2 linked regions of the Oryctolagus cuniculus genome follow. The protein of the gene in region 1 interacts with the protein of each later gene in a pairwise test. Links are inferred from orthologs where the notes say so. Each region holds a gene or a part of one and is shown on either strand. Other genes may lie near its edges.

Region 1 (4,097 bases):
GGGATGCTGCTACACATCCTGCAATACCCAGGAGAGCCCCCACAGCCAAGAATTATCATGCCCCAAATCTCAACAGAGCCAATATTAAGGAGGGACCCTGGAGCACAGCTCAGATGGCAGGTTCAACATGAGGCTGGAAGAACAGTGACCAGACCCTGGAGAGCTTGCTATGTTCAGGAGATGCACTTTATTGTCCATGCCTGCCTTCCTTGAAATGTAATCAACAGACCAGCCCTCGTACTCTCCAACCATGCTGCTTACTCACTCAAGCCTTATGAGGTGGCACCCTCCCATCTGCAGGTTCTGGAGCCAAGCAAGGTTAAAGACTTGAGGTAGGGGAGGTCTGCCTGAAAGGCCTGGTAGGAAGCAACTAGAATAGCCTCCATGACAGCCGAGAAGGGCCAGGCCTCTGGCTAAAGGAACTCAAGGAAATGATCTATTAAAGACACATTGATCTAATGGGCTGGCGCTGGGTGCAGTGGGCTAAGCCTCCACCTGTGGCACCAGCATCCCATATGGACTCCGGTTCTAGTCCCAGCTACTCCTCTTCTGATCCAGCTCCCAGCTGATGTGCCTGAGAAAGCAGCGGAAGACGGCCCAAGTGCTTGGGCCCCTGCACTTATATGGGAGACCCAGGGGAAGCTCCAGTCTCATGGCCCAGCCCTGGCCTCTGCATCCATTTGGAGAGTGAACCAGCAGATGAAGACCTTCCTCTCTGTAACTCTACCTTTCTAATAAGTAATAAATAAGTTTAAAAAAAAAAAAAAAAAGAAGTGTAGGAGCTAGCACTGTGGCTTAGTGGGTAAAGCTACTGCCTGACACTATGAGACTACACTATGGCCTGGGAAAGCAGAAGATGGCCCAGCTGCTTGGGCCACTGCACTCACGTGGGAGCCCTGAAAGAAGCTCCTGGCTCCTGGCTTTGGATCGGCCCAGCTCCAGCTATTGCAGCCATTTGGGGAGTGAACCAGTGGACGGAAGACCATTTGCTCTGTCTCTCCCTCCTTCTCTCTGTAACTCTACCTCTCAAAGAAATAAATAAAATCTTTTAAAAAATCAATAAAAATTTAAAAATTAAATCTTAAAAAAATACTACATGGTACCCCATACCAATGAACATGTGTTACAAGTTAACCAAAAAAATTTTTAAAAAGAGACACTGATCTGCACCAGCCTTCTTGACAGTCCCAGAACGCTCACAGCACACTTCCTTCTGGGTACATTTCCGCCTGCTGTTCTGTCTGAGATCAACTTTGTCCTGTACCCACAAAGCTCCTACCCTCTGTTTCTTCAGACCTCTGTTCAAACCACTTTATGGGCAATGTCCCTAAATATCCTAATATAAGACAGCATAAATCATCACCCCCTACCTTGTCTTATTTTTCTAATACCATGCAAACATGGTTTACTTGTTTTCAACTGTTCTCCCTCCATCGAAACGTAAGAATCACGAGATCTCACCGGAGGATTTAAGTCTGTTCACTGCTATGTCCTCTGTGCCTGGATTCATGCATCACGCACTCCAAGGCCCAGTAAACGTTTACTGAATGAATGAATGGAGCAATGCATGCACGGTAGGGATGAGAACACAGAGATCTAGGAGCGGCAGGGAAGAAACAGAGTGCAGCGGGTAAGACGCGCGGGCTCCAGCACCACACAGGCGGCTCCAGCTGCACCACCACCGCTTGCAAACAGTGTCCCGATGGCTCAGTCTCACCAGCAAAGGGGGGCTAATGGTAATCGTAGAACCTATTTCCTAGGGATGGACGGAAGCTCTTGCCACCGGGCCTGACACGCAGCCGGAGTGGAACAAAAGGCAAGCCGTCAGTAGCAACAGTCAGACGACCAGCTAGGGGCTAGGGAGTAGTTTAGAGGGTCCTGAGGGTCAGCAACTGGAAGACGGGGTTGGGGGGTAGGGGGAGAAAGGTGAGAGATGAACAGGGCGGGCGGGTGGTGCTGCAGCTGCAGAGGCGGCCGGGGCGCAGTGCCCGGAGCCCACAGCCAGCCTCCGCCAGGACACCCGCATTCCCCTTTAGGCAAATGACCTGCCCCGCTCTGCGCTTCTTCCGTCTGGGGATAAACTAGAGCGCCCTCCTCCTGGGGGTTCCTGTGCTTGTTCCCAAAACCACGCAGGGTGCCGTGCACACGTCACCGACGTTAACTGTAATGACAGCTGAGCGGTAACAAGACCGTGGGTTCCGGCGCCGGAGGAGCCTGAGCCGGACTCCCAGCGGCTGTCAGCTGGAGGACCTCAAGAAGAAATCCCTCGAACTCTCTGTACCGCGACCATTTTCCAAAGTTAGGCCCCGCAGCGCGCAGGCGTCAGCAGAGTAACTTCCAGAGCTCTGAGCTGCAGCCCCCCGCGTCTGCGCCAGGCACTGAGCTCCGCCACGCCTGTCCGGTGAGAGGCGCCGGGCAGAGGCAGCGAGCCTGGCCTTTCGCACTCCGCAGCTCTACTCCAGAGACCAAGCCTGCCATTCACGCTCCCTCCTCCCGCAAACCAGCGAACCCCGCCGGAGAGGGGCCGGAACGAGGCGGGGCCGCGCCGCTCCGGGGTTCCGGGGGTTGCGTCCGCGCCCCCTCACCAGTAGCAGCTGCTGTAGACACAGGCGTCCCGCGGAGGGCCGGCCGGCTGGTAGCAGGCGGCGGCGGCGGCAGGGCAGTCCCCCGCCTCCATGGCGGGCTAGCTTGGGCCGCGGCCCGGGCAGGAGGCGGCCCGAGTGGGCCAATCGCTGCAAGCAGCCGGCGCGCAGCCCACAGCGCCCGCTCCCGGAGCGGAGTAGGTGGAGCCTGAGGCGGCCAGGGCAGTTTCCGGGTGGCGGAGCCTGGGCGGGGTGGGCGGAGCCTGGGCGGGGCAAGCGGCTCAAGTTGCCAGCGCGCGAAGGTCCGGACTGAGTGGGCGGAGCTCGGGGGAGGACGACGCTGGATTTTCGAGAGGGTGGAGCCAGGGAGAAGTGGGCGGACCCGGGTCGCAGACGGCTGCGTGGTTCCGGGTAGGCGGAGACGGTGGGGAGGGGAGTGGGGGCGGGAAGAGCTGGCGCCCAGGCTTCCGGGGGGCGGGCTCTGGGGCGTGGTCGGCGTGCGGGGTGAGGCGGGGACGACGAGAATCCTGGGCGAGAGGGTCCGCGGCGAGCGGCCTGAGGGAGGAGTTAGGGGAGAGTCTGGAGTTGGTGAACCCCGGGGCCCTGAGTGGCTGGGCTGGCGTTGCCCGCTGGGCTGTGGAGGAACCAGATGGACTGCCATTAGAAAGGCTTTGTGTGTCAAAATGGGCGCTGTAGTTTGGAGCCCGGGGGAGAGGTAGCGGTGGAGGGTAAATTCCAAGTAGGACCGTCGCGAGGACGGTTTTAGGAAGGAATCACACCCCAAATGTAGCATTTTTTTTTTAATTAGGAGGGCTGTATGTATTGGCTGGGAAGGATATATTGGTCCCTGGATACAGTCAGAAAATAAGTTGCAAAATCATCTTTCTGTGTTAACCATGTTTATTTGCTGGCAGTCTGGAAGGAAAGCCGCCAAACGGTGAGAACTCTGGTGAAGGAATGGTTCTGGGATGTGTGCTTTCAAGGACTTAGACTTTACACTCTGTGTTTGCAACAGACCTATACTGGGACAGCTGATCAGAATCCTACCATTATCCAACTGAAATGGTTAGGTTGGCCAGGGCCGTCCGCGGCAGATTCTCTGATCTGTGTCCCAAAGCCCTTAAACACTTTTGCGCTTTTGTGTCCGATTTGGATTTGTTACCTCTGGGGTCTGAACACTAACCAACCGACAGAATTCCCCTTTAGAGAGAGCTGGAGGGCCATTGCGGGAGGAAGAGGCTCCCAGGAGTTTCTGGGCTCCATTCCAGCCACGGGTGTGGTCACGTCCAGTGCAGTCTGCCCTGCCTCAGGCCCAGAAGGTGCGTGCTCTGTGACCTTTTCAGCCGGCCATACTCCTCCTTCAGCCCCTCAAGCCAGAGCCTTTGTCCCCAGTGGCCAGCAGTCACACAGCAGGGTCCCCTCCTCCCCACCCCCAGCACACCGAAGGCCTTCTGTGTGTCCCCAGACTGCTGGTTCTGGTGACCCGCCTGCCTATCCTTTCCAGGGTGGCCTGTT
Region 2 (4,034 bases), on another chromosome or scaffold:
TCCTGGATTCTGGCTTCAGATCAGCTCAGCTCTGGCTGTTGCGGCCAACTGGGGAGTGAACCAGCGGATGGAAGACCTCTCTCTCTGCCTCTGCTCTCTCTGTGTAACTCTGAATTTCAAGTAAAATCAATAAATCTTTTTCTTTTAAAAAAAAAGAGAGAGACAATCACAATCCTCTCTGATAGGTCTGTTGTTGAACATTCAATCAGATAACGCTGGCAGAGTGCATGCCTCTGAGAGTACCTCAACAAGTTCACAAAAATGGAATAAAAAGATACATTTTGGTGTAAAAAAAAAAAAAACAACAAACTTTGAGATCCAGGCAGTTGCTTTCATACTATGTATTTTCAAAGAACTTTTTGAAGATCCTCTATATGCATGGATTTCAATTGGGTTTGCACCAAAATCAATTAATCTAATCTCGTTTTTCCACGGGTCTTTTGGAAGCGACCGGGTTACACTTCACCTGCACTCAGCTGGGGACTCAGTAATGGTAGCCAGTACTGAGTGAGGGCCAGGGTGGATTCTAGTGGCACCTCTGGGCCTCCACAGTGCTGTGAGCTGAACCCCCGCCCCCATATCCCTGAGTCCAACAGCCTGTTGCCAATGGACTCTGCCCTGCAGAGAGAGCCTCTGCCTCCCTCAGCCTTTTAAACTGGGCCCACCCCTGACACCGCAGCTGCTCTGTCAAGCCTTGATCTCCAGCAAAGCATCGTGTGGGACCTGGGTCTGGCCGCTGGAGGCAGAAGGCCAGGCCAGTCAATCACAATTGGGAGTGCCAGCAGGCTCCTCAGCCAGCAACCAGGCACCGCCTTGCCTAGCAGGCTCCTGGGGCTCCCGTGCCTGAGTTGTTCATAATAACAACAACTACTACTTAATGAGTGGGCTGCAGCCAAACCAATTAGCACCAACCCACAGGCTGGCCTGGGGCAAGCTGAGGTCACTGAGGGCAGCCTCTGCACTCTAAGACTCAGCTGCCCCCTCACTGGTAGCCTTAAAAGGATCCCAGGAGGAGGTTGGAGTGAGGTGCTGGGGAGACAGCATTGCCAGGAGTCATCCGGTCCAGAAAGATCTCTCTGGGGCAAGGGTACTGAGTTGAGCTGAGTTGAATGAACAAGGGAAGCATCAGTCCTGTTGCTGCTTATTGCCAGCATTTTATTGAGTATTTCTTGGCCCTGTGCTAGAGATGCTACATATGCCACAAGGCCACTTGGAAAAATTCGTGGCAAAATGGAATTAAAAGGTAAGTTTATTTTGATGTGCACATGGTTAAATCCATACATAGTTTCTTCATGGGATGCATTTTTCCCATGAGCTTTGTGAAGACTCTCCCAGGCACGGGTTTCAATACCTTCCACACCAAATAAACTTATCTTTGATTCCATGTCCCACGAACTCTTTGACGCACTCCTGTGTTGCATCCTCCTGGGGGGTGGGCGCCACAACTTCCTCTTTACAAATGAAGAAAGAGGAGAGCCGCAGTGACTTTGGGACAGACACCAGGTCTGTTTGGCTCCAAAGTCCAGGCCCTGCCCCAAGCCCTGCACCATGAAACAGGCGCTGGCAGGGGAGGCCTTCTTACCCTGTTTATTCAGATGCACGCAGAGAGAGGAAGTGATTTGTCAGCTAATTAATAGGGGCCAGAAGGGACTGAAACCAGACCTCCTGCTTCACAAGTCCAAGTTCCCTTCCTCAGCCTCAGGCAGACCGACCCTTCTACCCGAGGGTTCAAAGCAATGACCTCATGATCCGGCACCTTACAGAGGGAGGCAGACTACTATTATTATTCCCATTTGCCAGATAAATCAACTGAGGTCCAAGGAAGGCAGCATGTGCCCCAGACTCCTGCCACTCAGTGGTCCGGGTGAGAAGCCAGGAGCCCTGGCCTCTAAGGAGGAGAGGTCAGCGGGACAGGTAAGAACCAGGCCCTGAGACCACTGGGGCCACCAGGGCCTCAGCAGGGGTCAGGGGAGTCCCTTACCTCCTGGCTCCTTGCATATGCCAGAGTCAGGGACAAGGGCACTTTAAGGGCTGGGCCTTTTTCTATGCACGGGGACGGCTGCTGTGGCAGTGCAGGGTGGGGACTGACAGAACAAGGGGAAGAAGAAACGAAGAGGCAGAGGGGACTGCCTGAGTGGGCAGCATCTTTCCCGGCCTGCCTGGCAGCCCTGTAGGCTCCGCTCTGGCTCACTGTCCCCCAGCAGTGTGGCTTGGTGGGTTTGCCACACAAGCCACTTGGGGGCGCCAGGAGAGAGCGAGGGCAGACGGTGATGGGGTTACCGGCGAGCGCCGGTTTCGGGCTGCGCCGGGTTCCGGCAGGTGCGCCCAGGCCAGCAGGCGGCAGGTCTGGCGCGCGGAGCTCCCGTGCGCAGTTCACTGCCCTGGCTGGCTCCCAGGGGCCCCGCGCCCCGAGTCTGCAGGTTCGGAGGCTCAGCGACCCCGAGTCCCACTCACCTCCGATGCCATGTTGGGCGGTTCCTCCTCGTTCAGGAGCCTCGGCCTCTGGGTCTGGAAGAGAAGGGACTTGCTCAGCACGCAGAGTCCCCCCACCTCACCTCAGGCGCGGCCGGCCCCTGGCTCCGGGCACTGCCCTGGACACAGCGCAGCTCCCGGGAGGGCGGATGTGGGCAGCGCCCTGCGCGCGCCACGGGCCTCCGCTCCCGCAAGTCCCGCCTGTCCCGCCCGGGCGGCCGCCGCGCACTCACCGTCGGCTGGCCACGCAGTCCTCTCCAGCCAGCAGCCCCGCGGGGCTTTTCTGGACCTGGTGGCGTCAGCGGTCGCCCGGCCCTGTTCCGCCCCCTGGCGGCGACCGCGCCAATCCGAGGTGGCCGGACGAGATGGGCGTTGCCTCCGTCCGCCAACCCAGGCTGCGGGCGGGGCCATCTCCGGCTGGGCTTCAGGACGAGTGGCCCCGGAGAAAAGTCGGGGTGGTCAGGGCGGCGCTGTGGAGCAGGGAGGTCAAAGCCGCGACCTACACCTGTTATCCCACATGGGTGGCGGTTTGAGTCCTGGCTGCTCCACTTCCGATCCACCTCCCTAATGCTCCTGGGATAGCAGTGGAGGATGGCCCAAGTCCTTGGGCCCCTGCACCCACAGGGGAGACCCTGAGGAAGCTCCTGGCTCCCGGTCATTTGGGTTAACGCCCTGGCCTGAAGCGCCGGCATCCCATACTGGCTTCGGCTCGAGACCTGGCTGCTCCACTTCCGATCCAGCTCTCTGCTATGGCCTGGGAAAGCAGTAGAAGATGGCCCAAGGCCTTGGGCCCCTGCACCCACGTGGGAGACCTGGAAGAAGTTCTTGGCTCCTGGCTTCCGATCGGCGCAGCTCTGGTCGTTGGGGCCAACTGAACTGGGGAGTGAACCAGCAGATGGAAGACCTCTCTCTCTCTCTGCCTTTCCTCTCTCGGTGTAACTCTTTCAAATAAATAAATACATCTTTAAAAAAGAAAAAGAAAAGAAACGAAAGAAAAGAAATAAAGTGAGGGTGGTGCCTTGGTGGCTTCTCGATCCTCTGGGTCTGGAAGAGAAGAAGGGATTTGCTCAGGGACAGCTCAGACTCTAGACTTTAGATGATCTGGTTCACTCCCCAAATGGCTGCATGGCTAGTGGTGGGCCAGGCCAAAGCCAGGAGCCAGGAACACCATCTGGGTCTTCCACATGGGTGGCAGGGACCCAAGGACTTGGGCCATCATCTGCCGTCTTCCCAGGCACATTAGCAAGGAGCAGGATCAGAAGGAGAGAAGCCAGAATTGGAACTGTTGCTCCAATGTGGGATGCCAGAATCACAGGTGTCAGCTTAGCCTGCCTCGCCACAATGCATGCCCCGCAAAATTTATTTTTCAGGAAGATAAATACAGTGATAGTGCTGAGAGTAGAATAGGGGACAGAAGAGAGCAAAGGCTGAGATGCTTTGTGGATTGAAGGTTTTCATGCCTTAGTCAACTCAAGAGTGGAATTACTTGGAATTCCCAAATAATTACATGTGCCAGGAGGGTGAGTGTATCAGAGGGCCTGAGTCCTATCCAGGTTCCCACT

Evidence for each region. The genes of interacting proteins can lie anywhere in the genome.
Region 2: the proteins of NTAQ1 (region 1) and ASL interact in binary tests that used the Homo sapiens proteins (3 or more experiments, as listed by UniProt). The two-hybrid records come from large-scale screens. The link is inferred for Oryctolagus cuniculus from reciprocal best matches to the Homo sapiens genes NTAQ1 and ASL.

The regions. Positions count from the first base shown.
Region 1 is NC_091437.1:149,130,727-149,134,823, reverse strand, and holds the start of NTAQ1 (protein N-terminal glutamine amidohydrolase), read right to left. Parts: upstream 2,802-4,097; 5' UTR 2,678-2,801; coding exon 2,586-2,677; intron 1-2,585. Other genes in the region: ATAD2 (ATPase family AAA domain-containing protein 2), read left to right, coding at 3,479-3,519, 3,789-3,901. UniProt on the Homo sapiens protein: Mediates the side-chain deamidation of N-terminal glutamine residues to glutamate, an important step in N-end rule pathway of protein degradation.
Region 2 is NC_091450.1:66,174,347-66,178,380, forward strand, and holds the start of ASL (argininosuccinate lyase), read right to left. Parts: upstream 2,809-4,034; 5' UTR 2,706-2,808; intron 2,509-2,705; 5' UTR 2,467-2,508; coding exon 2,455-2,466; intron 1-2,454.